Linked DNA regions of Oryza sativa Japonica Group. The protein of the gene in region 3 interacts with the protein of the main gene of each other region in a biochemical or structural test. Links are inferred from orthologs where the notes say so. Each region holds a gene or a part of one and is shown on either strand. Other genes may lie near its edges.

Region 1 (10,681 bases), on a different chromosome or scaffold from region 3:
TCAGGTCCATTTTTTCACCCCCATGCAGGAGGAAAATGAGAGGCAGGGGTATTTTCGGCACTTCACAACTCGAGAATAAACAAATCTTGAAAAATGTGACAAGATGGCCGCTGCTCTGCTCTGCTCCTGCTCATCATCTTCTTCTTCTCCGCTCTCCCTAATCCAAAAAAAGGCGGCTGCTTTGGTCGCTCGCTCGCTCGCGCGGACGTTGGAGGAGAAGCAGCTACCGGGATGGACGCCATGGCCGTGCTCGCGAGGACCTCCCGCCCCGCCCCGACCCTCCTCGCCGCGACCTCCCCCGCGGTGTCCCGGCGCCCGGCGGCCGTCTCCTTCGCCGCCGCCGCCTCCCCGGGGTCCCGCGGCCGCGTCGCGCTGAGCGCCGCGTGGGGCGGGAGGGCGGCCAGGGGGCGCGTCTCCGCCGCCGGCCGCATCGTCGCGTCGTCGGTTGGTCACCTCTCGAATTAATCCCCTTGTTTTTACCTACTCGCGTTTGGTCCAAATTGCAGGAAAAGATTAGTTCCTTTTTTGTGGGTTGAGAGGGGCAATTTGGTTTGGTTGTGATGTTGGTTTCAGACTTTTACTCTACTGTTGTATTGGCCCGAGTCGTATTTTTTTTGATAGATTGGGGAAGAAAAAGACATGCTACTAGCTGAGCACAGATGAAGATAATCGTTTTTTTGGCTCCCTATTGATTGCAAAAACTGAACAGATAATTCACTGAAATGTCCCACATATTCATACGTTGCTTTGGCCAGTCTGAATTTCCTTTTTTGTTGAGAAGAGTCAGTCTAAAATTTTAGTACCCGTTTCTGGAATATTCTATGGTTATTGACATAAGTTATTGGAAAAAAAGGAAGCGAACTTGAACTGAAAGTAAGAATTTTGCCTTGCTGCTGTCAGCGGCAGACAGTACTGATGAAAATATGGCACTTAGGCATGCTACATTGTGTTGATTGCCAAGTAGGAGTTGCTTTTGTACCGTGATGCGCATATGGAAATGGTCATGGCAATTATTTTGGATGCTCTGATAACCATCTAATTTGCTGCCTAGTTCGTGCAGTACAATTGAAGATGTTTGCTATATATGTCATTATGTAGAATTTTTGTGCCCATCAGAATTCCAAAATTTGGTCTTCATTTTTTTTACTCTTTTTGTTAATAAATGCAATGATCTCTGTGGTTCTACTGTGAGATTGTTTGAATTATTCAACAACGTGTTTCAAATTCCAGTACTTGAACAGGTCCAAGTTTCCTTAGGCAATCTCATTTTGCGATGCAGCATGACAGTTGTTGCAACTTGCAATGTCTTAAATACACAGTGAAGGGGTACTGTAGAACAATCTAAATCTGTTTATGCATAGTTGAGAAAATTGAGTTATGTTGAAGGGATGCCAAATTTATTCTTGTAGTTTTTCATTATTCCCCTCAAGCATAAAGCCATTTTCTGTTTGCTAATCTCAGTAACGTGTTAGTGCATCAATGTTGGTTTTATTAATCTTACGCATTTAATCCCTGAAATCAAAGATGCAGATCAGCAGAACTTGTAGAACTGTTTCATTTTTTATGTCCACTTATTCTTTTCATGGCACGATATATGCCTATATCTGAGAGGTATTACGGATGCTGTTTGACTTAGCTTAAGTATGGAACCTGAGTTCGTCGCTTCTATTTTCACAGAATAAGTGTGGATCTGTCTATTTATGAAACTAGGAAGGTAGCCCGCGCATTTGCGCGGGCATGTTTTTATTTCGTTTCGAAAACATGTCTAACAAAATAAGTTTAAATTAAAGTGAGGTGTTTCCCTTCTTAATTGAATGTTCATTGTATTTTTTCTTTAAAAATCTTGAGAAACTTTAATTGCTCATAAATATATATTTTTTACTAACCTGCTATCACCTTTTTAAATTGACCAAATATACATATGTAAGATAGTGATTCTTATGCGTAGGATCCTACAGTATTTTTAAGAAAAATACCAAGTTAATATGAGTCTTAAAATAAAAATTAGTAGGAAATTTCTAATCATATCGTTATACGAAATGCTTATTGATTTTGTATTGACACCTTAGAGGCATTTACATGCAGGTCGTGGAATTTAGTGTATTCGTTTAATTATCATTGACCTTCATCTCCTGATGTGTCAAAGTGAAATATGACTTGTATGTAGAGAAGAAAAAAAGTTTAAAAGAATAAAATATCGTTAGGATGTAAAATGAACTTTTTTTTCCTCTGTAACCAATGGAATAGATTGATTCAATACTACTTTTGCGGGTTAAGTGCTCCACTAAAATAGTTCACTGTGTAAAAGCTTCAACTCTACCTTCTGGGTTAAGTACTCCACTAAAGTAGTTATATGTAAACACATTACAAAAGTTATTTCTAAAGGTAGCCCATGAGTCCGAGGCAAAAGGCTCATCACATAGGAGGCTGCACATTTGAGGAACATGAGAACAATATTCTCGCGGAAATCATTTGTTTAGAATGTGATGAACATAATTGTATATTCAATTAAAAACGTTAGAAAAGTGGCTTAAAGTTGTCATTTCACATTGATTGGTTATGAAAATAATGGTATATATAAATCTTTGTGCCGATATCATTGTTTGCCAACAATCAACGAACTTGATAGTTACTTTTGGTGTTCCTTTTGGTATGTAGCAAATTGGCTACATATTTTACAACTTACTGTATCCTTTGCTGAGATGCACTTGCTTTTTTTTCTCTGTATACTTGATTGTCTCATTGTTTATTAATGGATGCCTTCGGTCCACGTGACACAATATATATTTCAAATAAAAAGCCTTCTCGAGTCTAAATTGATTTTGCAGCGTAGGAGATAGTTTATTGTTTCGTGTAGAGTGTGTGAGACTCCATGTAGCTTAGCAGGAACATAATTTTCATTGCGAAAAATAACTCCGCATGTGTGATTATTATGTAGTGTGGTATGATTGTTGTCATGATTTAAATATTTTTACTCTAAAATTTATGATTAAACATTAGGATTTTACATAATGCAAACAATCACTTTGTGATTTTATCTTAGCTAACATGCATTAGGCCTTTAGTGATTATGTTTATATTGCATAATCCTAAATATGAAGCCTACAATGCTTATCCTATTTTATCTTTGTTGTTTGAAAGAATTAGCCATTTATACAACCATGGTAGTTTAAATACTAAATAGTTTTTAACTTTTAAGTTTCTAAAATAATTGGTAGATAAAGCTTTTAGCTCGGTCATGCATGATACATACATGTAGTCCCAAGCTAATTTGCCCCCTCACGCTGACAGTGTCCTGAGTAATGTCGATGGGGGCAAAATTGTGACCGATCAAAGTCTTAATTTTTTTCAGTTCAAGAAAAAAAAATGAATCTCAATTTTTTAGACTACTATCCAATGTCTTGTACTCTATATGTACGAACGAAGCTATAACCGATCTCTTTTCCTTTGCGTTAGATCAATGTATATGGCCCACACCATTAATTTATATATATCTAATGGTTAAAATTAATAGGTCCACCGATTTGAATGAAAACCGATGGTAAGATATTTTTCTTTTTTTTAGAATTTATAGGATTTTACCTAATTTATTATAGCGTAAAGTGATGATTTAGGAGCATTTGTAGAATATGCATGTGGTGGCTTGATAATGTTTATTGGAAGTATAATGGACTTTTAGTATTTTTTTAAGTTTCAGAAAGAAAAATGAATCTCGATTTTTTAGACTACTATATAATGTTTTCTTCTTCCGTAAGTGTACGAACGAAGCTATAACCATTCTCATATCCTTTACATTAGATCGATGTACGCATGGTCCACACCATTATATTATTTTATATAGATCTAATGGTTAAAATTAATTGGTCTAACATTTTAAATGAAAATCAATGCTAAAGATATTTTTCTTTTTTTCTTAGAATTTGTAGGAATTTTTCTAATTTATTAAAGAGTCATGTGGCAATTTATAAGCGTTTATAGTATATAATATAATATAAGACACGTATAATTATATTATTTTGACTTACCGGGGAGTAATTTATTTTCTAATTTAATTATTGTGTAATTATGTTTGATGATAAAATCTATATCGTTATTTTTTCATAATATTTTGGAATTATTTAAATGGCACGTAAAAGTCAGAAATTGTAACCAAAACATGACATTCTTTTTGAAAGATTAAATATAAGCAGTTTAGATGTTATATTTGTTTAATTGTCAATTGTGCTCACCTATTGTGCTTTCTACCTAATATTGCATAAGAATAGGAATAAGAAATAAGAGAGGGAACAGAGGAGGAAGAGAGGAGGCATACGGGTCCAAGTACGTACGTATACCTACTACGACTCCACGTAGGTACAATACTGATAGGGATTGGAGGATTATTTTTTCTTTATAGATTGATCTAATGGTTAAAAATATCGGGTCCACCAGATTAAATGAAAATCAACGGTTGGGTGTTGTCTTTTTTTTTAGAATTTTAAGAATTTCTATAATTTATCATAGTGCCAAGTGGCAGCTTGGGAGCGTTTGTAGGGTACACGTGGCAGTTTGGGAGCATTTGTAGGAAGTTTAATGGACTTTTATTATATAATAGATGTCAGACATTTCTGATTACCTCAATATTCTGTTATTTCAGTTAGAAGTTGAGAACTCTCCACTTAGGTGATCTCTTCCTGATCAACCATAAGATTAAATCTATTTTTTCTGTAGGTTGAGCAATCCTATATTATGATCAAGCCTGATGGTGTTCAGCGAGGCCTGGTATATCATTTTACTTACTTTTCTAACTTTAGATTCCATTACTTTTTTTTGACGTAATATATTCCATTACTGAATACTGTAGTTCCATTATAGTTTCTTTCAGCTCAGATAAACACTCCTGTCGATTCGTTCATATAGGTTGGCGAGATTATTTCCCGTTTCGAGAAGAAAGGCTTTGTGTTGAAGGGCTTAAAGCTTTTTCAGTGCCCCAAGGACTTGGCACAGGTTTGCCTCTTAATATCCACCGTTTTCTTCAAAAGTAAAGTGTTTTCTTCCACCATCTGGGGACTCACCATTTAATCATCGTTGGAGAGCAATGGTGCCATTTCAAAATATACCATGGTTGCGTGGCATGACAAAATATCATGCCCAGTTTATTTTCTTGGTAGTGGGCAATTTGCCAAGACTTGAATGGACTTATTTGAGGAGATCACAGTTTTATTGTTGTGAATGGAAATTTCACAATCGAATAAATGATAAATAGCATGTCTGTCTGGTATGTTATTTCAGGACAGCCTTGATCATCCAAAGTACTCATTCTTTGCTGACTGCTGAGATAGTTCTTTCGAGTCACTTTTTCTTGTATTCAGCCAACGAAAAGTGATCCATTAAATATCCAAGCAGCTGGAGAAAATTTTGTAGAAATGCCATCGAAATTTGTGGTTAAACCTGGTTTCTGCTCACCGTCAGAGCATACAGTATTATCTTTGTTTTCACATAGGAAGGGAATCACCAGGAGTATATTATGTTTAATCAACGAGCTGCTAATTCTCTCTTATGTGCACAGGAGCACTACAAGGATTTGAAGGAAAAACCTTTCTTTCCCGGTCTGATCGAGTACATAACTTCTGGCCCTGTTGTTTGCATGGTATATATATTTGTAAAGAACCAAACATATTTGTAACTCTGCACTTTGATCAGTAAACTGTTTTCAATTAAATTTATTGTTGTTCTGTTCTGTAAGGCTTGGGAGGGGAATGGTGTTGTTGCATCAGCTCGCAAGTTAATAGGAGCTACTAATCCCCTTCAAGCTGAACCAGGGACCATACGGGGCGATCTTGCAGTTCAAACAGGAAGGTTGGAATCAAACAACCTTTCATGTTTTAACATTATTATATCTACCACATCTTTCACATTTTAGCGGATATCTCTGCATATATATCTCTGTCAAAGAAATTAAATTTCTTATGGACTCTGCTTTCCAGGAATGTTGTCCATGGAAGTGACAGTCCTGATAACGGCAAGCGTGAAATCGGTAAGTTCTACTCCTTTTCCCAGTAGTCATGGTATAACAATATAAGGTGCATAGAATCATGAGTTTTAAGTACTACGAAGAATGAAGTAGTTGACACAGTGATTAGGATCATGTTTTTTTTTTTTAAAAATAATAATTCAGCAGCACTATGTGCTTAGAGACGTGCATGTTTGTTAGCTTGGACTTAACTTTATTGTGACCTGCTATTTTGTTCTTTACAAACAGATGATAAACTCATTACACATTTTCTGTCTGTAGCTCTATGGTTCAAAGAAGGCGAACTCTGCGAATGGGAATCTGTTCTGACACCATGGCTTGTAGAGTAATGCTCCCAGATCAGTGCAAGAACTGGATGCAGTGCTTGTTCTTGATTTGAGGGGTTATGTATGAGTTCAGATCAGCAGAGTAAAGTAGCTTATACCAAAGCTCGGCCTTCTCATGACTGTACACCCTGACATTCCCCTTTTTTGTAATACCCAACATTCCCTTTTTTGCGTTTGACCGATTACTCTCTGTTGTCAAATCTCCTGGCATGTCTGTAATTGGTTCAGAACAATACCAGCAAAGCTCCAACTTCCAAGTCATTATGCAGATGAATGCGTTCAAAATTATCTCAGGCAGTTGACCGATGACTGATTGTCACTGTTGTACTATAGCTCCCAGCAGAGGTGAACTCGTGCAGAGTTGCAGAGTTCATTTGGCTGATGAGCCATATCTTGATCAGCAGTTATGAAATTGTCACCGTATTGGTGTTCAACCCACAAATGAGGAGGCTAAGGGATACTCGTTTGATCTTTTTTGGTGCTTGCATTTCTTGAGATAATGTTTTACTGCTTGATATTTCATCCCAGAAGCTCTCATTTGTACCTCAGCCTCTCAACACCTGAAAGTCTGGACACTGAAGGCATTGATAATTTTCTTACTTCATAGCCGAAAATAAATAAAATCTCAAAATCAAGACTATAGGTGAAAAACCAGCTAAGTGCTTGTGTTTGAGATTAGCCATAAAGCATATTGGCTCAACATGCGAAATTAAATCTGGAGCGTTGGGCACACTCAGGTAATTGTGGGGACTTGGGCCGTGCCGGTCTAGCACGGCATGGCCCATCGTGCTTCGTGCCGGCCCAAGCACGGCCCAATGGCACGCAGTGATATTTGGGCGAGCCCGGGTTCCCTTCTTCCTCGCTACTCTACTCGGCGAGGCGTTACGAGCCCTTCCTCACTAGTCACTCCTCAGCGACGTTAAGGAGACCCGACAACTTCTTCGTCAAATCTTGATACTGGGATGAAAACGGTAACGGAAATTCTTAGCTGACCGATGTTCGTTTCCGACTTTCTACCGGCCAAGCCATATGAAAATGGTAATCGATTGGAACGAAAATGAAAATGGTAAAATTTTTAAATGTGTCAGTTGCTGATTTTTTTTATTTCATCTACCTTATAATTCACCAACTCATTTTACTCATCTTTCTCTCCTACACTCTTACATTCATCACTCAACGGTTCAGATCACCTCTGTGAAATCCAATGCTCAGGATCGTCTCCACCTCCCACGCGCGTCAAACGCCCGAGAATACGGTCGCCATCCCGCAATCCGCCAATCCGCCCCTCTCCCAGCGCCGATGTCCCTCACAATCGTCGCCCTGGCCGCAGTAGCGCCTCCCCCTCCCCAAGCCTGGCTATTGCTCCCTGAGCCGGCCGGCTGCAGATCGCCTCGCCGCAACGCAAGCGCGTGATTTCCTCCCCCTCCCCCACGCGAACGCGATCTCCTCCCCTTCCGAAGATTGGGGAAACGCAAGCCTGCAAGTGTGGAGGCATCCATCCGCCTGACGTTGCAGCCGTCGGCGCGGACGCCGCTGATCCCGAGTCGACACCAACCAGGCCACTGGCTGATCTACTTCCAAGCTCATGCGCGTGAGCAGGTCCATTTCTCTGATCCTGCCTGATAGGAATTGCAAGCAAGACATTATGGTTTTGGCTTATCAATTGGATCTGAATGCATCAGATATCTTCCTCTCCGGAAATTGATTTGGGACGAAATTGATGGATTACTAATGGTTGTTGCAACAGGGTAATTTGCCCTCAATCTGAGGTATTGCCATGTAAGTGCTATTTCCTTTAAAATGTTCTTTGGACTAAACACGGTGTTATAATTTTACCTGATGCAGGTGCATTGCGTGTTGTTCAGTGCAATTCGAAACCAGATAATTTCTTGATTTTTCAAAATGCACCTTCTGCTGTAACAGCAGTAAAAAATGCTGGAATGTGATTGGCCATTACATGTACATATGTGTAAAAAATAAAGATGCACCTTGGTATTTAATATTTCTTGAACTTCCATTCTCCTTTTTCTTTCTTTCTTCTTCTTATTTATTATTTATTATATTTTACTTTTTGCATAGAGCAGCAAACTGATAATAATCAGTGCTTGGCTACTTGGTACCTTCTGAATATTTACTATGTGGTTCGTGAGATTGGTAATATGTTCCATCAATGAATGACTAGGCTTCAAGGCTAAGAGGGCAGATGACGAATGTAGTGATATATGTAGCTGCCTACGAGCTAATATTATTGACCTTTGGGCTTTGGATTAGAACTGTAATAAATAAAGTATCAATTGATTATGTAAACATTTCTTCTCGTTGTTGGCATGCCAGAGTCAAATATTGGTAATCTTTTTTTCGGGCAGATTTGTCCTATTACTAAGCATTTTCCAAATGATGTTATGCATATCAATTCCACGGTCCTTTTTTTTTCTGATTAACACTGTAGTACTTGTTCTCTGAAGAAAATGTACATATCATGGATATGTAGAGTGGAGAAGAGAGGCTGCACTGGGAATAAAAGTGAGGAAAAATATTTTTGTAATACACTGTATTGAACACGATAAATTAATAGCTGGTCGAATTTATATGTGTTGTAGATAGTTAGAAATGTATAAAAATTGTGATTTTATTTTATGCATGCGGCTATGGAATCAACAATATACTAACTTAAATCCATCTCATCCTATGCTTTTAATTTACATTACTGATTGGCTTTGAAGCATTAGCACAGGCATATTACTATAAGTATATGTTTACAGAATATGTACACTGGTAATTGCTACAGCATTTAGTGTTGTGTTTTATTTTTTGTTAGATGTTGTACCGAAGAAAATATAAAGAGCCCTTTCCTTTATTGATCGAATGTTTTGCAAAAAGCAACCATGCATGCATGTATATCAACCATTGATATTTGACCGGATGCTTTTATATGTAGAGAGGCTTGCAGAATTGTTCCGAGTACAATGTAAGTGCCACTCTTCTCTAATTACTATTAGTATTTTGATAAAATTATGTCTCATTTTCAGACTGCAGTTCAATTTGTCATTTCAAGGGATAAGCAGGGTAGATAATATATGTATTTTGTTAGAATAGAATACGGACGCTTCTGGTATTTAGCTGATACCTACACATAGTGAAGAGTAATGTGCGCTCGCCACCGGCTGAAGGTTTCGCTCGCCAAGTCTGACACAGAGAAGCAGTTGAAGTTAACCTCGGTTTCTCAATTTTTTTTTCATTCTATTTGTTTTTGAGAGCTGGGGATTGGGCATTTCTATTCATTTAGCAACAACGTTTCTATTTTTCCTTTTTCAGCACATACTTCGACTGTGAAGTCACTGTTATTTGATCCTTCAAATCCCAAAGTTATTATTATACAAATAGTTGAAAGGTTCTATAGGTGCTATTTCTATAGAACCAATAGTTACAAATATCAGTTGAAAGGTTCTATAGGTGCTATTTCTTCAATAAATCCAGCAGCCTTATTCTATGCTTTATAATTAAAACAATATTAACTTCTTTTTGACTAAAAACAATATTAACTTTTGGAGATTACAGAGTAAAGTACATAGACGGTCCTTACACTTGTAGGGTTATGTTATCTAGATCCCCAAACTCTTAAAATGGATCCACGTCTCGGAACTTATCAAAGTGTATCATCTAGGTCCCAAATCGACACAGCCCCTCTAAGATCCTATGTGGCACTAATGTGGCATGCCACATGGACATGATGGGTCTTTTTTTTCTTCTTTTCTTTTTCTTTTTCTTTTTTTTGGTTTTCTTCTCATTCTTCTTTTTTTTTTCTTTCTTCTGCTTGGGTCATAGAGAAAGGAGAAGAAAGGAAAAATAAAAGAGAAGAAAGAAGAAAAAAAGAAAAAGAATTTTTTTTAAATGGGTCTCATTTGTCAGTCAAAATTATGCCATGTCATGCACGTATGGCATGCCACATCAGTATCATGTAGGATCCAGAAGGTTGTAGCGATTTGGGACCTAGAGAACATACTATGACAAGTTCTGATACTTGGATATGCATTTTAAGAGTTTAGGGACCTAGATGATACACCTCTACAAGTTTAAGAGCCGCCCGTCCATTTTACTCTACTAAATATCACCGTTGCGTTAGCACGGGTATATTACTAGTCATATATAATTTGATGTTTCACTCGTTGGTCACCGGAATACCGTCTGATTTTTTTTTGGGACGTCGGACGTTCGATGGGAGAAGATTCTTCCATATTTATTCATAGGAAAAAAACATTGACGGTAAAACATTATTCAGATGGGGATGGATCGATCGAAACATGCACACAGTACATATCACTTGCGTGCATGTGATCATTAT
Region 2 (10,681 bases), about 4.6 Mb from region 3:
TAGTACTGGATGTGACACATTCTAGTACAATAAATCTAGACAGTCCAGATTTATTGTACTAGAATGTGTCACATCCCGTCATAGATTCGTTCTTTTGGGACGGAGGGAGTATGTGGTACACAATAGTTAGTTAGACCATGTTTACATGGGACTAAAACTTTTAAATCCCTATCATATTGGATGTTTGGACGCTAATTATAAATATTAAACGTAGACTATTAATAAAACCCATCCATAATCTTGGACTAATTTGCGAGACGAATCTATTGAGCCTAATTAATACATGATTAGCCTATGTGATGCTACAGTAAACATTATCTAATTATAGATTAATTAGGCTTAAAAAATTTGTCTCGCAAATTAGCTTTCATTTATGTAATTAGTTTTGTAAGTAGTATATATTTAATACTCTAAATTAGTGTCTAAATACAGAGACTAAAGTTAAGTCCCTGGATCCAAACACCACCTTAGTTGCATGAGCCACGAGTACTTATTTAGAATAATTAAAACTATTATAACTAGCACCTATCATAGCTATTGATCAATGTAAGTGAATTATCTATATTTTCCAATCTATTTTTTTCCCAACTAGTTGGTGCAAACAACTCAGGCGTGAAAACAACATGTCTCAAGATGACTTTTTTATGATGCATTTTTTAAAATGAAATCTACCTCTCTTCTGAATCTGAGGTCTAAGCAAGTTAATTAATTCCTCATCTTTTCTCATCGAGTTAAACTGATTGGTATGTTTAACTCAATAATAGTGTCGACCTTTTCCTACCCTACATTCATAAGATATATTTAACTCTCAATAATAGCCATGTTACTGCCTCCATTGTTTTTTTTACTTGAAATATATGGTATTGACCCAATCTCTAATGTACATGTTTGATCTTCTAACCTTATATTAACATAAATCATTGAAACATAACTAATTAAATAAATATATGTTTTCATGAAAATGTACTATTGTCATTGTACATATTAAAAGTATTAATAGTTGTGTGTGTGTGTATATATATATATATATATATATATATATATATATACATATATATATATATATATATATACATATATATATATACATATATATATATACATATATATATATATACATATATACATACATATATATATATACATACATATATATATATATATATATACATATATATATATATCCTACATACATATATATATATACATACATATATATATATATATACATACATATATATATATACATACATATATATATATATACATATATATATATATACATATATATATATACATACATATATATATATACATATATATATACATATACAAAGCTAGCTAGGTTTGGCTACACATACACATTGAATAGATGCCATCTATTCGAGGACAGAAAGAAAATGAATCACGATCATTCATTTTTTTTCTTTTTTCAAGTAGAGGTCTTGTTCAGTTTTCTATTTATCAAAATTAACCTAACCAAAATATGGTATTGCTAAATTTAATTTAGCACACTTTGGTGTTACTAAATTTTGGCAACACTGGATGTGTTTAGTTAATTAGTCTTATAACAAAATTACTAGTGTTTGTATGAGAAGAAACTTCTGAAACACGTTTTTGGTAAAGTGACAATATATAGGAAGAGTATATTTAGGTTGTTACTCTACTAAAATTTGATGATACCAAAACTTAATAGAGTTAAAAGTGGTAACAAAATGAACTAGTCCAGAGATATCTAAGCAAACAGGTCGTGTTTTCATCGTTTTGGCAGTCTACTTGTAATACTCCTATGTACAATTGTGCAATTAAGAGTCAAAATTAACAACTACTAAAAGTCATGACCGTCCATAACACATTGTGTAAATGGAATAATCCCTGCCCGTAGCTACACACAACTAAGATAGCGTCCTTTTTGCACTATCAGCAATTAATTAACTTTGCAGTATTGACTTAGTTGTTAGCAATGAGTGACAACGTTTGAGAATTAAATTTTATGGTGCGTCACTCCTCTAATATTTCGGATCGTACGCTAATCATTATCTTAACCTTCATGATATGCAACTCCTTCGATTGAATTTCTTCACTGTGCAACTTTTTTGTTGCTAGCTGAATACTCATGAGTCACATGTACTGAGCTACTTCCTCCGTTTCATAATGTAAGTCATTCTAGCATTTTCTACATTCATATTAATGTTAATGAATATATATATATATATATATATATATATATATATATATATATATATATATATATATATATATATATATATATATATATATATATATATATATATATATATATATATATATATATATATATATATATATATATATATATATATATATATATATATATATATATATATATATATATATATATATATATATATATATATATATATATATATATATATATATATATATATATATATATATATATATATATATAGATTCATTGACATCAATATGAATGTGGGAAATGCTAGAATAACTTATATTGTGAAACGGATGGAGTAGTTGAATATGCTTTTTTCTCTCTTAAGCATGAGAATGAAGGGTACACACGACTCGCTATAATTTAGGCTGCTTTTGGGAGGACCGGCACGCAAAACAAAGCATGTATTATTGCATGATTAAATAAGTATTAACTATTTTTTTTAAAATAGATTAATATAATTTTTTAAAACAACTTTTGTATATAATTTTTTTATAAAACACATACTGTTTAGCAGTTTGAAAAGCGTGCACGTGAAAAACGAGATAGATGAGTTATGAAAATTCGAGGAAGAACACAGCCTTAGTGGGTCCGATATATATATCTGGTGGTGGGTGTAGACAGTGGCAGAGTTACCACTCACCATCATCACTTAAGTGAGTTTTTTTTAAGAATATACATATAACAAAATTCTTCACACCTCTTACTAGAAAAAAAGCCTAAACGTATTAGTAGGTAAAACATATATCAATCCAGCTAGCTAGGCATGATGAGTCTAGATGATTTTGCTTTCTTTCCAACGTGGAGACATATTAATTCAATTTACAATGGATCGACCAATGGATTTTCCACTGTTCTCCAGCCCCTAAATTTCGGGATATTTAATGTCCTGTGTACTGTTAACATGGACGTGATGACATACCTTAACATAGATGTAAAGGGTGGTAGGGATTATTTAGATTTTCCTAAACAACCAGACATTAAGGCTTCCCAAAGGATCATATTTAAGATAACAGTGACACTTATTGTAGTTAGACCATCGCATTAATGAACAGTTAACAGTTACACTTGTTTTTACGTGATTTTCTGAACATATTTAAATAATTAACACTTGAATTCAATGGAGTGGGTATATATGCCTACAAATTACTACATCAGTCTCAAAATAATTATAATTCTAGATTATTTTAACATATATTAAGGTTTGAGAATAAAGACTATAATACCCCTTATTAAATGGTGTATACGTAGAGTGGAATGATAGTTGAGAGTAAATGGGAAGAAATTTGAATGATAGTGATTAATGGGACCATTAGTATTCTATTATGACAATTATTTTAGGACAATTTAAATCTTATAAATATAATTTATGGGAACTAAATTTGTGCTAAATAAGTGTTATCAATATTTGCCAATATAGTGATTTTATAATGTCCATGACGGGTTATTTGGTTGGAGGAATTTTTTTTAAGGAATTGAGAGTTTAGAGAGATGAGATTATTAATTGTTCTGTTTGGTTGGAAGACAAGAGAGTTTTGGTGGGATGAGAATGAGGAATTGAGGGAGTAACTCCATCCTTTTCAATGCCTAGGTGGTGGGTGGTAATTGGGAAGGAATTTCTCCTTCATTTTGCGTAAACAAATCCCAACAATCTATTTTCATTTAAAATCTAATCTCCAACTAATCTTCGTTTCAATTCCCATTGTCTCTACCAAACATGATATTGGAACTAAAAATAAATTTTTCATGTTAATCTCACCATTAATTTTCTCGTCTAAACTCCCAATCATTTTTCCTCATGTCGCAAAACAAGCCGTGAGAGGCACCAGACGCTATGACTTTTTCAAGCGCTAACTTTGGTACCTTGCTGCATCTATTAAAAATATATTTATTTTTTTTACCAGTTCCTCATCTAACCAATCATAACCATCTCAAATTTATTTTTTTTCACTTACTTTCTCTTCTTAACAATCATAGCCTATTTACTCACTTGCATCATTAGGATGTGGAAGACTTTAGATATATAGCCAATTTATAAAAGTTTCTGATAGCACAGTTAATTTTTTTTTCAAAACTCTTGTAAAAAATACTTTAGCTTTTCGTTTAAATCAGATTTAAAGAACTGTAACTACAGAATCTACAAAATAAAATTATGTCGATTTCTGTATATTCTTATCAACTAAGGGGGTGTTTAGATCCACGGGCAATCTTTTCTTTTCCCGTCACCTCAAACGTTTGAACACATGTACGGAGTATTAAATATTAAAAAAAAAACTAATTACACAGTTTACGTGTAAATTGCAAGACGAATCTTGCAAGCCTAATTGCACCATGATCTGACAATGTGGTGCTACAGTAAACATTTGTTAATGATGAATTAGTTAGGCTTAATAAATTCGTCTCGCAGTACAGACGGATTATGTAATTTGTTTTATTATTAATTAGTCTACGTTTAATATTATAAATATGTGTCTGTATATCTGATGTGACCCGATAAATTATTTTTGCCGGTGAAATTAAATACAACCTAAATTTTGCCCTGCCGCTTCTTGGAATTTAAAGTAGATCTACAGAAACCCAACCTAAATTCTGTCCTGCCGCTTCTCGGAATTTAAAATAGATCTACAGAAGTATTTCCTCCGTAAAAAAAATCAAACTAAGTTGGTTTATTTTGGGACGGAGGGAGTAGTACTACACTACTGCTACTGGTGGTAGACTGTAGTGTGAACCATCGACACCCTACAGCGTACACGTACTTGTGCTGCTCGTCGTCAACGGCCAAACTAGGGCACTTCCTCGGCTTCTCCTCCAATCAGAGACTCTCTCTCTCTATATATATATATTTGCCTGCGAGGCTGCGACTCCAAAAGATGGCGTGTCGCTGCTGCGAGACCAGCAAACCGAAGTTACTCGAAACGGTTAAAGTAAAAAAGATCACACGACACCACAGCACGCCCGGTCTCCTAATCCTTGGGCGATGCACATTGATCTGCAGGTGCAAAATCTGTACTACTCCCACTAAATCTAATCTCTCCTCTGATCCTCTCTAATCATTCGTTGATTTCATTCCCCTGTCCGGACCCCGGCCCCTCTCTCTCTTTCTCTCTCTCTCTCTCCCCTACCTATCTTATCTATCAGCGTCTGTCTCAAGGAATCCAGTTCAATTCAACCGCAATGTTGTACAGCTACTTAAAGGCCCATCGCTTGTGCCAAGCCAAGCCCGGTCCCCCTTGCTCTGCCTCTGCCTCTTCTTCCTCCTCCTTGCTCTGCTTCTGCTCTCTAGCTAGCCTTCTTCCTATTGGAAGCTTCTTCTCAAGTGAAAATTAAGAAGCTAGTATTGGCTGAGCTGAGCTGAGCACCCAGCCAAAGTCTTGGGCCTACTTAATTAGGTTAGTTCTTGCTTCTTTTCTTAATTTACTTCTCTCTTTCTTTTGATATACTTTTATGGAGTTCTTTTCTTGCACTGTTCTACGCCTTTGTGGACAAGATGCATGCATGTTTTTTCTTTATTGTTTTAATTAACGAGGTATAATCGTAATTAACTGCTGAAGAATTACAGCTTCTTCATCACTACAAAAAGGAAAAAAAAAGAAGTTAATTCTTCAGTGTTTTTTTTCCTTCTTTACTGTTTTTTCCCCTTATTTTACAATAAAAAAGGTTAATTAATTTTATTAGAAAAAGAAGAAGCTCTTTTTGCTGTTGCTTTTGTTCTTGGAGCTGAAGAAGTTGTTTTTTTTTTTGGTGCCCTCTGCTTCTTCTGCAGTGAGGTGAAGGGGAGATCGTCGTGTCGTCATCCATGGTTGCTGCCATCTGATGAGCGATGAACCAGTTCGTCCCTGATTGGAGCAACATGGGTGACGCATCCAGGACACTCGGGTTCGCACTTTGATCGAAGCATAGATTTCGCCGGTTTGATCCAGGATGCAGATTTTCCTTTCTTTTTTCTCATGTTTTTTGTGTTTGTGTTTGTGCTTTTGCAGCGAAGATGACAACCTCATTGAGCTGCTCTGGTGCAACGGCCATGTCGTCATGCAGAGCCAGAATCACCACCGGAAGCTGCCGCCGAGGCCGCCGGAGAAGGCGGCGGCGGCGGCGGTGCAAGAAGACGAGGCCGGCCTGTGGTTCCCGTTCGCGCTCGCCGACTCGCTGGAGAAGGACATCTTCTCGGACCTCTTCTACGAGGCGCCCGTCGCGGCGACGGCGGAGGCGGCGCCTGCTGGCCCGGGCGCGGGCGCCGACGGCGAAGGAAAGACTTGCAAGGGCGACGCGGCAATGGCGGAGGAGGAGCGTGGCGGGCCGGGCGCGGCGTCCGAGGCGCCGCGCGAGCTGATGCCGCCGCCCAAGTCGACGAACGCGTCCTGCTCGAGGCAGCAGACGATGAGCCTGGCGGACGGCGGCGACAACGCCGGGGACCTGTCGGAGCTCGTCCGGGCGAGGAGGTCGTCCGGCGGCGCGGCTCGGCGGAAGGCGGAGGCCGGCGGCGGCGGCGGCGGCGCGTCGTCGTCGATGCTGAGCGCGATCGGGTCGAGCATCTGCGGGAGCAACCAGGTGCAGGTGCAGCAGCGCACGGCGAGCGAGCCCGGGCGCCGCGGCGCGCCGCCCTCGGCGGTGGGGAGCGCGAACGCCATCCCCTGCGGCGGGCGCGACCACGGCCACGGCCACGAGGCGACCACCGTGGCGTCGTCGTCGGGGCGGTCCAACTGCTGCTTCGGCACCACCACCACCACGGAGCCGACGAGCACCAGCAACCGGAGCAGCAAGCGCAAGCGGCTCGACACCACCGAGGACTCCGAGAGCCCCAGCGAGGTAGGCGTCCTCCCGTCGAACACCAACAGAGACGCACACTGACACTGACACCGGCGGCGCGTGGGATGCAATGCAGGACGCGGAGTCGGAGTCGGCGGCGCTGGCGCGCAAGCCGCCGGCGAAGATGACGACGGCGCGGAGGAGCCGCGCCGCCGAGGTGCACAACCTCTCCGAGAGGGTGCGTCCCAATTCTTTCCTCCTTGTCTTTAACGCCATGGGAAGCTGTCTGACCTTGACGCCATTGGCACCATTTGTGGTTTGTGCAGAGGAGACGGGACAGGATCAACGAGAAGATGAGAGCCCTGCAGGAGCTCATACCACACTGCAACAAGGTAACCAACTTAACTAAACTACACACTAATTAATCACTCGCTAATCCTCCGAGATTAACCAAAACTTGTACTAGACTGACAAGGCGTCGATGCTGGACGAGGCGATCGAGTACCTCAAGTCTCTGCAGCTGCAGCTGCAGGTGAGCTGTGCACTTACTGCAACGGTTTTTGGCGCGTAATTTAAATATATATATATATATATATTTATATATTTATCGGTTTCTTTTTTTTTTTGATTTTGGTTGTCAAGATGATGTGGATGGGGAGCGGGATGGCGCCGCCGGTGATGTTCCCGGGGGTGCACCAGTATCTGCCGAGGATGGGCGTCGGGATGGGGGCGGCGGCGGCGGCGATGCCGAGGATGCCGTTCATGGCGGCGCCGCAGCCGGTGGTGCCCACACCGCCGGTGAACCACCTTGACCTGGGCGTCAACCACCTGCAGCCGCCGCCGACCCAGGTCTCTTACAAATTGCCCTCCCCCCCCCCAAAAAAAAAAAACATTCTCAAATCCCAGCTCGTTTGAGACAAATTTGTGCGAAATATTTATATTTGCTGAGGTATTGGGACAGCTTTATTTGCAGGGAGTGGGGTATTATCCGTTGGGGGCCAAGGCCGTGCAGCAGCAGCAAAATCCACCACTTCACGTGCCAAATGGAAGCATTATGCCTCCTCCTGAAAATGCACCCAACACAGGATCAGGTATGGGATCCTTCTACTTCTACTTCTACTTCTCTTCCGATTAAATTGTACTCCGTCCGTTTCATATTATAAGTTATATGACTTTTTCTTATTCAAATTTTTTAAGTTTGATCAAGTTTGTAGAAAATATACTAATATTTTTTAAAAAATAATATATTATCAAAATATATTCAATTTTAAATTTAGTGAAACTAATTTGATGTAGTAAATATTGCTAATTTTTTAATAAATTTAATCAAACCTAAAGAATTTTTATTAGGAAAAAAGTCAAACAATAATATGAAACGGAGGAAGTATGTACTAGTAGTACATATAACATAAGTTTGGTTTAGGAAAATGTTTTTTATTAAGAGTTTCTTATGATCTTTGAGAAAGTATGTGCTCCTACTCAATCTGTTCTTAAATAATTGACTCTGGCACTATTGTAGTTTAAACTTTCCGCTTATCTTTTTTAGAAAGAATTTGTTAGTACTTAAAAATATGTTATTTTGTCCAGGGGTGTAACATCCTAATTATAACCGTGCAACTTCCATACTAGTTCACCCTCCGCCCCGAAAAAAACCAACCTAAGAAAGGATTTGATCTCTTGTCAAGATTCGTTGTGAGGAATCACATCCTCTTCGATTGTTTTTTTTTGTTGAGACGGAGGGAGTGCATTATAAGTAGGGTGCTGAAACTGAGATGGCCGTAGTCAATTGTGTCAGTTATTTGAGGTCAAAATAGTGTCAGTTATTTGAGGGAGAAGGGAGTAAATTTTTAATTTTAAATTGTGAGCATGTTCAAAATTCCACGGACAACCTAGACACAATCAGTATGTCAACGACTTAATATTATTGGAGCAAGCTTGATCGGGAAGCCGTACATTTTTTTTGTCTCATAGTGGTTAGTAGGTGTTTACTACCTCCTCCTTCGTCCCTAAATATTGACACCATTAACTTTTTTAAACATGTTTTATCGTTCGTCTTATTAAAAAAATTAAGTAATTATTAATTCTTTTCCTATCATTTGATTTATTGTTAAATATAGTTTTATGTATACATATAATTTTACATATTTCACAAATATTTTTTAAATAAGACGAACGGTCAAACATATTTAAAAAAAGTCAATAGCGTTAAATATTTAGAGACGGAGAGAGTATATATGATTAGCATATACAGTATATATCTGACGTATACACATGTATATCAGTGGCTTTCTTATGGGGGCAAGTGGTAATTATATCAATCCACGTAGAGGTCATATGTACTCTGCCTATAAAAGAAAATGCAGAGATTTCAAACTTTTCAGATTAAATTACACATTTTGGTCCCTGTAAGCACAAGAAAGAAGGGATTTTGACTCCATAGGAACAAAGAACAAAGGCATACGGACAAGAGAAAAAAAGAGGGGGAAAAGAGGGACAAGGAAAGAAGCTTGACTTTTCAGAGCTCAATGATTAGTACCGTGGAGATTCTCCGCATAATTTTTAGTCTAGCCTACTTCCATATGGTTCTTTCAAAATTAATAAAACTTCCATATGCGATACATATACACAACAATAGTGGAAAACCAATTATATTTGGAACCATGAATAGTCTTTATCAGTCATCACCCTCATAAACATTTTCTTTCTTTCTTTCTTTCACACAATACACTCATAGTACTAAAACATATTTATTAGTTCAACTTGTCTGTTCTACTGTTATTATCATGAGAAAACTACTTGCCATCTGAAAATTACCAAGTGGTACCCCATTTTCGCCGCGAATAAAATCCTTTTTGATAAAAGGAAATATCTGGTGCAATTGGACAAGATAAGCTTGAAAGGTGGTGCTAGAATCCATCATTTTCGGACAAAATTTTCCATATGCCCAAAAATTAGGCCATTCTAGCTTCCTCATGCGTGCAGCTTGCCTAGCCATGTCTCAATTGTTTTGTAATGTTCTAAGCTTGTCGCCATCGGTATACTAGTCAATAATACTTACGTACTATACCTATCTCTTATGTCTTCATCTGTATATGTATAGGATTAACCAATGTTTTTTTCTTGTGTTCTTGGCAGGATAATTAACAAAAAAGAGTGAGAGCAAAGAGGAAGAAAACATTCATGGTTGCATTGATCCTGAATGAGTATATATGGCAATAAAGGTAACTGAGCTGCACAGCAGGACGGAGCAGAGGAATTTGACAGGGGGACGATTTCTTTAGCTTTTTCCCCTCTTTGGGAAGCCAGGAACTAGCTGTGATGTGCAGAAGATGTTAGCAAAATCTCTTGAAGATCTCTAACTGATTGTAATTAGGGGTATGATGGCATGTTCAAAGCATAAGGCTGGTCTGGTCTTTTGTACCATTGGAATTAACATTAGAGACAGAAATTGTGCCATACATTTGGAACAAGAGTAGTTAGTATAAATTGACACACTTCTTTTCAAAAAGTACAAGTTGACACACTTTCTTTCCTTTCTCTCTCTCTTCCCAACCTAACACCGTTTTCCTTGATGGCCCTTTCCCCAACATGTTCCTCTCCACAATCTCTCCACCCCCTTAAAAAAACTACGAGAAATTTGTGAGATATTTAACTATTTGTCACTTTTATAAGTGGTAATTGAGAATTTACCACTGGACCTACATGTTATAAATCGTGTGG
Region 3 (10,681 bases):
ATAAACCCCGCTCTGTTAACTCTATCATACTAACTTGTGGGCCACGTTTGTTAGCCATTGCTTCTTATCTCCCTTCTTTTATCAACAATGGCCAAGTTACTCGGAGTTGAGCTATAAGCTAGCAAATCATCGATCCAGTATGTCACATTGTTCATCTTTGCCGAGTTTCAAATTTCACGGCTACTAACACTCATAGTATCAATGAGTACCGCCTATGCAACTCTGAGCTTTTTACTCTACCAGCAACCACAGGATCATTTGCATCAAGCTTTGTTGTTGGATTTACCCTCACCTACCATTGGATCTTTCGCACTAAGCTCTACCTCATCCTAGCATAGCATCTTAGTGTATAGCAGAGGGAGTGATTGTAGTGGTATCCATGACCTCTTTATCTTACGTCATCCACTACCATTTTCCCATCTTGGTGAAATGCCTTGGTGATGCGGTCGGCGGATTGCCTTCAAGAAACTCCTTGTACGACTCGAGGATATTAGCTTGCTGTGTCTTTGTGTACTCAATATTAAATAGGCGATACTGGATTCCCTCTCCCTTTTGTGAAGGTCAATTTATACTTTAGAACTATCCTTTGTTCACAAAGAACTTGAGGGCTCATTTTGGATATTATCTCAGGCGGTTCTAGATAGCTCCAAGTCGGACTATGGTCCTATTTGGGAAAGTTCAAAGATTCTGAAAAAATAATTAGTTGGTAGTAAGTCAGCTTCTAAAAATCTGAAAAAAGCTAGGAACCCTAATTTTTAGCTTCTAGTTTATTTTCTCGATTATATAACTACAACTTCTCATAAACTGGACTGTTTGAGGAGCTTTCAATTCTGATAGAAACTGCAACTGCCAAAATCTCTTCTAAACAAGCCCTATCTTTTCTTACCTAGTAGAACACTCATTCCTTATCTTCTCACGACTCTATTCCAGAATTTGTTTTTTAATAGAATTTGGTATACGATATTTCTAACTAAGATATGTGCACATACGTAGGGTATTGTATTAATACCTTCATTGCCAATAGGAGTGAGCCCCTGCTTGCTCCACTGTCTTCTAGAACCTTGATCCATGACTGCATGTATCTCCATTTCTGCGCTCACTTCATCATCGTGTTCCTACTCATTAAGGGTCCACTCCTCCTCAAGCATGTACAATGGCAAGCTATAAGCTAGCTATAACCACATATCGAGATGAAAAGAGAAGAGAGAGAAAAAGGCGGGCTGTAGATTTGTAGCCAGCTGCAACACGAACTCCAAAACGTTATGTGTGTATGAGAGGTGGGACCAGGTATTAATAATGTAGTACTCCCTCAGTCCCATATTATAAGGGATTTTAAGTTTTTGCTTGCAACGTTTGACCACTCGTCTTATTCAAAAAATTTTGAAATTATTATTTATTTTATTTGTGACTTACTTTATTATCTACAGTGCTTTAAGCACAACGTTTCGTTTTTTATATTTGCAAAAAAATTTGAATAAGACGAGTGGTCAAACGTTGCAAGCAAAAACTGAAAATCCCTTATATTGTGGAACAGAGTGAGTATATTTTTATAGTTAACTATTGTATGAATGTGTTATTATATTAGCTATAGATGATTTGAAGCTAGTAGTTGGCTATACTACTCCCTCCGTTTCGAAATGTTTGACAACGTTGACTTTTTAGCACATGTTTGACCGTTCGTCTTATTCAAAAACTTTTGTGAAATATGTAAAATTGCATGCCTACATGAAAATATATTTAACAATGAATCAAATGATATGAAAAGAATTAATAATTACCTAAATTTTTTGAATAAGACGAACGGTCAAACATGTGCTAAAAAGTCAACGGCGTCAAACATTTCGAAACGGAGTATTAAACTTGCTCTCACCAAGTCACCAGACTAAGAAAGGGGAAGAAAAGGCACGTGAGATTAACACACGGAGTTCACCTGTCAAGTGACCGAAAATTAATGGAACTATGTTTTTGTGATACTAGATTACTAATTGCTTAAAAAATGCATTATTTATTGAAACATCCATAAATCCTAGTGTTCTGTGATACTCATGCTATCTGGGGATTTTTTTTACAAAAGTTATTTAAAAATTATATCATAATAAAAGATTAGTTTCCATTGTATTTTTTTTTACTAGATTCATATGACCTTCCTCTCAGAATTCCCACAGGAGCTAGGATCAGATCACGCGATGAATTGTGCCTGATCCCAGTCTTCAAAAGCGGAAAAGAAAAAAAAGAAAAGCCAAACCCCGTTGCGAGCCGAAAGCATCCGAGAGCCCCAGACGCGGGGGCATGGGCGTTCACGTGCGGGTCACATGGCCATGTCCGCAAGTGGAAAGCCCCAAATACCAAACCCCTAGGAGGGCCACGGGTGCACTGTCACCCAAAAGTAGTAAGAAATTCTTTTGCAGTTAACGAAAAAGGAAGTCGAAAAAGAACCAAAGCCCAAAGAGCAAGTGCAACTCCAACTCTTGGCCACTGCTCCCTCGCTCTACTTAATTAAACCCCAATTAGATGATGGTGATAATGATGGCACTAACGCTAATCTCGATCTATAATCTAGTAATCTCTACTAACCCCGAGCTGTTCGTCCAATAGAGTATCATGGCCACTGGTGTACAGCTGCGTACTATTACTAAATTTGTAAGTTTGTTGGGAGTTTTTCTATGCGTTCTTCTGTCCCAATCAGCTTACGGATTGTGCTTAAAGAAGGGAGGAGTACTAGTTTACTACGCAGGCTATTGGGTTAAGCAGGACAGGTTAAACAGTTTTGCTAAGTCACTTTTTTTATTACGCGATTACATTTTTTTAGGAACTATTAAGTGATTATTACTAGGACTGAGAAAGGTAGACCCGTTGAGTTAGCTAGGATTTTGGACGTCATGCGAAAAAAACATATTAGTGCATAATTAATCGATTATTATTATAAACTTGGAAAAAATATATTTATTTTTTAAAAAATCACATGAAATACGCTATTTAATTGTTCAGGAAACGTGATTAAAAAAGAAGAAAGATACCGTTTACCGAACTCAGCCTAACTCTCTCTTGTATGTACTCCATGTTTCATATCTCTTTCTCATTAACTTTTCTATTTATGTGTGGAAGTTACACTAGCAATTTTTCCAAGGATTTTAAGTACATAAGCAAGTACTGAAGTTTCGTAAGATTTAAAAATCAGGCTATAAATATTTAAAATTTATATTACACTACATATAATTCATAGTGTAAATATATACAGAAATTTTGGTGTCCTTTAATAAAAACACGGTCATAAATATAACGGCCAATTTATTTGGTCTTATTGTTAAAAAATCCACGAAGTAAAAAAAAATCATCTTATTGATACATTTATTATCACGTAAAATGGTATTTTACACCTCACGTATCCATCTTGCAATGGTATTTTCTGAATTTTATTTTTCCTAATACAAACTTATTAGTATATTTTGAGATTGAACACGTCATCTACTACTTAAAAAAGTAATTAGGGTGTGTTTGGATAATGAAAAATAGGGAGTGGGATTGGGATTAGTAAATGAACGAAGGGTTAGGATTAAATGAAAGAGGGAGAATGAATGATTAAGATTTAAATATGTCTTTTGGTGGGTGGAAAATCATTTCCCTATCACATTAGCCAAACATTGCCTTAGTCATAGGTGAATAGATCCCACTGCAAGAAACTCAATCAGTTGATCTACGTTTATTTTACATGTTTTCTAAATTTTCCCTTTGTATTATTTATATATATATATATAGGACACTCATATGGGGCACCATGGTGCCCGGGCACCATGATATCAAATACACAAAATCACTCAAATTTTTCAAAATTTTCAAATTGTGAGTATATACCTAATTATAATAACTCGATTCATACCTATACCTATCAACAAAACAACTCAAATTTAACTTTATTTCACAATCCATGATTACATACCTAACTAATTATATGTATGGATGCTATATACCTAGAATCAAAATCTAACAAAAACAAGTTCAAATTCAGTTCAAACTTGCTTTGAACTAGTTAGTAAAGTAGCTAATGTTAATATCTAAGTAATTGAAAAAGTTTCATACTCATTTGAATTAGGTATATACTCAATTTCAACAATGGTGCCCGGGCACCATGGAGCACCAAACAAATTTAATATATATATATATATATATATATATATATATATATATATATATATATATATATATATATATATATATATATATATCTCCCTAGGTTAATTATTGGCGGTAATTAACTCCAGGTTGGCGTCGAGGTAAATCCGCGACACCTCACCTCCCCACGGCGACCCCATCCGCGCCGGCCGGTGATCGGGGTGATGGGGGAAGGATGGGGCCGGTGCGTGCGTGCGATGCGACGCGAGCCCCGGCCTAAGCACAGCACAGCTGACTAGCTGAGCCCCCACACCATCACAGGCTAGGCTATTTATTTATTCAGCTCGCCACTGCCACCCGAGTGCGGCTGCCTTGGCTTTGTCTCGTCTGCCTCCTCCTCTTCTTCCCGCACAGTCCACAGCTCCGCCACTACTGGAGCAGAGCTGAGCTGAGCCGAGCAGGTACCCCGGTCGATCCCTCCTCTTCCCCCATCTTTGCTGCTCTTCGCTTGTATGGTTGGATGCTGCCTTAGCTAGCATCATCTGCTGCTTGTTCGTTTCTTGGAGAGGAACGGGCTGTGCTGCCCTGTAGTGTGGTGTTCTCTTTCTCTGATGATTTTGGGGGGGACAAGAGATGTGGTGAGAGATGTTTGGGAGTTGGGGACTGGAGGGTGCTCTTGTTTAGTTCGTATTTTTTGTGATCAGGGCTTAGCATCTTTGAGATTAACAAAAAAACTTGAACTTGTATGCGAGTGTGATGAACTGATGATTGATGATTCAGAAATCCCCTTTCCTGGGGTTTGTGATGGATGGCAAGCAAAGAGGATAAAATTCGGTGCTTGTCTCTGTTGAGATGGGTTTTTTTAGGATTTGTTTAGTGGTGGATTTCTTGGACTTTGGGTGCCACTGGGTGGTTCTTGGTAGAGGGGGTACTGCTTCAGTGCTTCTATCCATGTGCCACGTCAGTGTCCACTGACTCACCCCCAAGCCTTGGTACAGGAAGAGGATAGGAACAAAGGTGAGGGGTAGTGGAAAGCAGCAGGAACAACTTGCTGATCCTGGAGAAGTGTGCTGTTGCAGAAATATTGAGAAGATTTAATCTGGCTTTGCTTAGTTGTTGTTTTTTATTGTCAGAAAAGCCATAACTCAAAATCCCCATATGTTGGGATAAAGAGAAAACAAAATGATGAGTTCAATTGAAAATGTTGCTACATAAGAGCCTACTATTGGAGGAGCGAGTAGTCCAAACTCCAAACGATGTTGCTCGTCCTGTTAAGGGGTTTTGCTCCAAATTTGGACTTGCAAACAAGTTAAGCCACAAGTTGTTTTTTTAGCCACTGTTGTATGCACAGCAAAGACTTATAAAACCTGTTTCAGTAATATAATAAGCGGCTTCAGTTTTTTTTTAGATAAGCGACTCTTTTATGCTTTCTATAAAACCTTCCAAATGATAAAAATGCACTTGATGCTGATCATTCGTATTAGTCCATCATACTAATTTCATGGACATGCTAAGTTCAGCTGTTTAGAGCAAGTCCGTCTTCTGTGATGTCTGTGAACTTCCATTCAGCTAAGATATTTCACCTTTTTATTAGTAACTACAACTGAATATGGTTTGTAGTTTCTTTTTGGTAAAAAATATAGTTCCATGAGATTTTTAGATAATGGGAAATCCGGGTCTTTGCATCAGCAGATATTACAACCCACCATTACAAAATTTGCAGCACGTCTGGCTGAAAGTAACAAACACCAAGAGGACAAGAAAACCATATGAAAACATTGACATAAGGACTAATTAAAAGAATCAGGAATCAATCATATTTCTAAATCTCCATCCATGGCGAAGATTTGCATGATCATTGTCTCAAAAGTCCGCCATGCAAACTGGATATTGTCCTTGTCCTCACACTTTTGCAACTGGTCCTAAAACTGATCCCAGTATGTGGCCCAGTATAGTACCTTCATATGAGATTTAGTTGGGGTTTTGGTCCATGAGACTAGTGAAAGTGCAGCCTCCGTGAGTCCAAGGTACCTTTGACGGCTTATTTCAATTATTATTTTAAATGAAACCCTTTAAAAATTATATTACTTTGGAGAATTTTTTTTCCCTAACAGATCTATTGTTGCTGTTTTTACAGCGCCAATCTAAATAGTTTTATGTATAGTGGTGAAAGACTCGAAGTTGTATTAGATTACCATTTACCATGCCCATGTCAGAGTGGCATACATGTGTTAACAGAGGGAATATTAGGCTGAAAAAGAGTAAATCTAAACATCAAACTAGCAGAATTTCCAAGCAATTATGCAGTTAGATACTAATAACATGTTTGTATCGAAACTAATATGCAACAGTGTTTCTTATGAAATAGCTCTAATATATATCCTATTAATCTCCCACACTATAATCTAGATCCACCACAATAAGTATAATGGATATGTTTTAGCGTTCCTCCAATCAACGTAGTAATTTATAGAATGTGGAAGCTTTCCTTTTATACTGTTTTTAGAATGTAAACTAGATTTCCTGCATTTCATGCCTTTGAAAATCTTAAAGACTGGCCATGTAATGCCAATGAAAATCAGATGAATGACAAATACAAAGTAGAGAATATCTTATCACAGATTAGTGAAGGAAATTCCTCAGAAAGGTTTTGGCTTTACAGGAGATGTCATGCTTATTTGCTAACACAAGTGCCTGCAGTTGTATTTGGAGAAACTTTAGTCCTCTAATGCTCTAAGATTTGTTGACCGTTCTTCAATAGCATCTTTAACATTGTATTATTTTACTTCGTCAACCGTTCTTACTTCATCCATCGAGTTCTAGCAGGGCTAACTTTTTATATTTCTCAAGCTCTTGAAAGACAAAAACATTTCTCTTTTCTGAACTGCTCAGGCAACAAGGAAGTCTAATCATGTGGTTTTAGGCATTGATCAAAGTTGATAGTCCACATTTATCCACTAGATTGAGGCATCTATTGATATTAGTGGATTGCTATACTTTTTTGTTTTACTGATTGATGTTTTCAACTTATATTATCTTGTTCAGCAGGAGTGGTATACAGCAGATAAGACTCTTGAGTGATTCAGGTAATCAAGGCAGAAGATGTCTTCTTCAAGACCTACTCAATGTTCCAGTTCATCCAGCAGGACCCGCCAAAGCTCCCGGGCAAGGATATTAGCACAAACAACTCTTGATGCTGAACTCAATGCTGAATATGAAGAATATGGCGACTCCTTTGATTACTCCAAATTGGTTGAAGCACAGAGAACTACTGGACCTGAGCAGCAAGCTCGTTCTGAGAAGGTCATAGCTTACTTGCATCACATTCAGAGAGCAAAGCTAATCCAACCATTTGGTTGCTTGTTGGCCCTTGATGAGAAGACCTTCAATGTTATAGCGCTCAGCGAGAATGCACCAGAGATGCTTACAACTGTCAGCCATGCAGTGCCAAGTGTTGATGATCCCCCAAAGCTACGCATTGGCACCAATGTATGGTCTCTTTTCACTGACCCAGGTGCCACAGCACTGCAGAAGGCACTGGGATTTGCTGATGTTTCCTTGCTGAACCCTATCCTAGTTCAATGCAAGACCTCAGGCAAGCCTTTCTATGCCATTGTTCATCGGGCAACTGGTTGTTTGGTGGTAGACTTTGAGCCTGTGAAACCTACAGAATTTCCAGCAACTGCCGCTGGGGCTTTGCAATCTTACAAACTTGCTGCCAAGGCAATCTCTAAGATCCAGTCACTGCCAGGTGGAAGCATGGAGGTGCTATGCAATACGGTGGTCAAGGAACTCTTTGACCTCACAGGATATGATAGAGTTATGGCTTATAAGTTCCATGAAGATGACCATGGTGAAGTCTTTGCTGAGATCACAAAGCCTGGTCTTGAACCTTATCTTGGCCTGCATTATCCAGCTACTGATATCCCTCAGGCAGCCAGGTTTCTTTTCATGAAGAACAAAGTCCGGATGATTTGTGATTGCCGTGCAAGATCTATCAAGATTATCGAAGATGAGTCGCTCCACTTGGATATTAGCTTATGTGGTTCAACACTGAGGGCACCACACAGTTGTCATCTTCAGTATATGGAGAACATGAACTCGATTGCATCCCTTGTCATGGCTGTTGTGGTTAATGAGAATGAGGATGATGATGAAGTTGGGGCTGATCAACCTGCACAACAGCAGAAGAGGAAGAAACTATGGGGACTCCTTGTTTGCCACCATGAGAGCCCCAGATATGTTCCTTTCCCATTGCGGTATGCCTGTGAGTTCTTAGCACAAGTGTTTGCTGTCCATGTTAACAAGGAGTTTGAATTAGAGAGGCAAGTACGCGAGAAAAGCATATTGAGGATGCAAACAATGCTCTCTGACATGCTTCTCAGGGAATCCTCTCCTCTGAGTATAGTATCAGGGACTCCCAACATCATGGACCTTGTGAAATGTGATGGTGCTGCTCTTTTGTATGGGGGAAAAGTGTGGCGGCTACAGAATGCTCCAACTGAGTCTCAGATACGTGATATTGCCTTCTGGCTGTCAGATGTCCACAGGGATTCCACTGGCCTGAGTACTGATAGCCTACATGATGCTGGATATCCAGGAGCTGCTGCTCTTGGTGATATGATTTGTGGAATGGCAGTAGCTAAAATAAATTCCAAGGATATCCTGTTCTGGTTCAGGTCACATACAGCTGCTGAAATCAGATGGGGAGGTGCAAAACATGATCCATCAGACAAGGATGACAGCAGAAGAATGCACCCTAGGCTGTCCTTCAAGGCATTCCTTGAGGTTGTCAAGATGAAGAGCTTGCCTTGGAATGACTATGAGATGGATGCTATTCACTCATTACAACTTATACTTAGAGGGACACTGAATGATGACATCAAGCCAACAAGGGCCGCTAGTTTAGATAATCAGGTTGGTGATCTCAAGCTTGATGGGCTTGCTGAATTGCAGGCAGTTACAAGTGAAATGGTTCGTCTCATGGAAACAGCAACTGTCCCAATCTTGGCTGTAGATAGCAATGGATTGGTCAATGGATGGAATCAGAAGGTTGCTGAGTTGACAGGGTTGAGAGTAGATGAGGCTATTGGAAGACACATACTTACCGTTGTAGAGGAATCTTCTGTACCAGTTGTCCAGAGGATGCTGTATTTAGCTTTGCAAGGTGGGTAAATTAGCTATAGTGGTTTTTGTCTATTCCCCCAGTATTTTTCAAGTTTCTGCTTATTTGGCAATTCGATTTATCAAAAAAACTTTGGGGTTGCTTTCTAATGTTCAATGCCTAGATATGCTACATTTGATTGTCATGCTCATACATTAATACTTGACATTCAGCTGCGTTGTGGGTTGATTGATTTCTAAACATTTCTTTGATTGATCAGGCAAAGAAGAGAAGGAAGTGAAATTTGAGGTGAAAACTCATGGCTCCAAGAGAGATGATGGCCCTGTTATCTTGGTTGTGAATGCCTGTGCCAGCCGGGACCTTCACGACCATGTTGTTGGTGTGTGCTTTGTTGCACAAGATATGACTGTTCATAAGTTGGTCATGGACAAATTTACTCGGGTTGAGGGAGACTACAAAGCAATTATTCACAATCCAAGCCCGCTTATTCCTCCCATATTTGGTGCTGACGAATTTGGATGGTGCTCTGAGTGGAATGCTGCCATGACGAAATTGACCGGGTGGCATAGAGATGAGGTGATCAATAAGATGCTTCTTGGTGAGGTGTTTGATAGCACCAACGCCTCCTGTCTTGTGAAGAATAAAGATGCATTTGTAAGTCTCTGCATTCTTATCAACAGTGCATTAGCTGGTGATGAAACAGAAAAGGCTCCATTCAGCTTCTTCGACCGGAACGGGAAGTATATCGAGTGCCTTCTTTCTGTTAACAGAAAAGTAAATGCAGATGGTGTCATCACTGGAGTATTTTGTTTCATTCAAGTTCCTAGTCATGAGCTGCAACATGCACTACATGTGCAGCAAGCCTCACAGCAGAATGCACTAACAAAGTTGAAAGCTTACTCCTACATGAGACATGCAATCAACAACCCTCTCTCAGGTATGCTTTACTCTAGGAAAGCACTGAAGAACACAGGTCTGAATGAAGAGCAGATGAAGGAGGTCAATGTTGCAGATAGTTGTCACCGCCAGCTGAATAAAATACTTTCTGACTTGGATCAAGATAGCGTCATGAACAAGTACTTTTCTTACCAAGTATTCTAAGTTACTCTCTTAGGCTCTTGTATTTACTTTCAGCTACCTTTGTTCTTCATCAATTGTCAGACCTAACAGGTCGATGGTGTTGCTCTTATAGTCTTATGTGTTTGTATTATCTTCAAGTGGTCAATTTTGCTCTCTCAAAATGAAAGAATTTGTTGCACCAAGTCCCAGTGGTTTTTTACTCATTACTCAGTACAAACCTTATATATATATTATTAGTTATTATCTTCAAACTAATTTCCTGCTGCTGTGTTCACAGGTCTAGTTGCTTGGATTTGGAGATGGTTGAGTTTGTATTGCAAGATGTGTTTGTGGCTGCTGTAAGTCAAGTACTCATAACTTGCCAGG

Evidence for each region.
Region 1: the proteins of phytochrome A (region 3) and nucleoside diphosphate kinase 1 form a complex in vitro, tested with the Arabidopsis thaliana proteins (2 studies listed by BioGRID). The link is inferred for Oryza sativa Japonica Group from reciprocal best matches to the Arabidopsis thaliana genes PHYA and NDPK2.
Region 2: the proteins of phytochrome A (region 3) and transcription factor PHYTOCHROME INTERACTING FACTOR-LIKE 13-like form a complex in vitro, tested with the Arabidopsis thaliana proteins (3 studies listed by BioGRID). The link is inferred for Oryza sativa Japonica Group from reciprocal best matches to the Arabidopsis thaliana genes PHYA and PIL5.

What each region holds. Positions count from the first base shown.
Region 1 is NC_089046.1:22,870,162-22,880,842, forward strand, and holds nucleoside diphosphate kinase 1, read left to right. Parts: upstream 1-159; 5' UTR 160-231; coding exon 232-444; intron 445-4,710; coding exon 4,711-4,761; intron 4,762-4,899; coding exon 4,900-4,986; intron 4,987-5,548; coding exon 5,549-5,629; intron 5,630-5,725; coding exon 5,726-5,838; intron 5,839-5,966; coding exon 5,967-6,016; intron 6,017-6,274; coding exon 6,275-6,342; 3' UTR 6,343-6,627; downstream 6,628-10,681. UniProt on the Arabidopsis thaliana protein: Major role in the synthesis of nucleoside triphosphates other than ATP. The ATP gamma phosphate is transferred to the NDP beta phosphate via a ping-pong mechanism, using a phosphorylated active-site intermediate. May activate MPK3 and MPK6.
Region 2 is NC_089037.1:25,402,628-25,413,308, forward strand, and holds transcription factor PHYTOCHROME INTERACTING FACTOR-LIKE 13-like, read left to right. Parts: upstream 1-5,285; 5' UTR 5,286-5,604; intron 5,605-5,978; 5' UTR 5,979-6,035; coding exon 6,036-6,091; intron 6,092-6,195; coding exon 6,196-7,021; intron 7,022-7,097; coding exon 7,098-7,199; intron 7,200-7,287; coding exon 7,288-7,353; intron 7,354-7,427; coding exon 7,428-7,493; intron 7,494-7,603; coding exon 7,604-7,810; intron 7,811-7,922; coding exon 7,923-8,052; intron 8,053-10,096; coding exon 10,097-10,101; 3' UTR 10,102-10,469; downstream 10,470-10,681. UniProt on the Arabidopsis thaliana protein: Transcription activator. Negatively regulates chlorophyll biosynthesis and seed germination in the dark, and lightinduced degradation of PIF1 relieves this negative regulation to promote photomorphogenesis.
Region 3 is NC_089037.1:30,050,411-30,061,091, reverse strand, and holds the start of phytochrome A, read left to right. Parts: upstream 1-4,330; 5' UTR 4,331-4,571; intron 4,572-7,155; 5' UTR 7,156-7,212; coding exon 7,213-9,277; intron 9,278-9,494; coding exon 9,495-10,311; intron 10,312-10,592; coding exon 10,593-10,681. UniProt on the Arabidopsis thaliana protein: Regulatory photoreceptor which exists in two forms that are reversibly interconvertible by light: the Pr form that absorbs maximally in the red region of the spectrum and the Pfr form that absorbs maximally in the far-red region.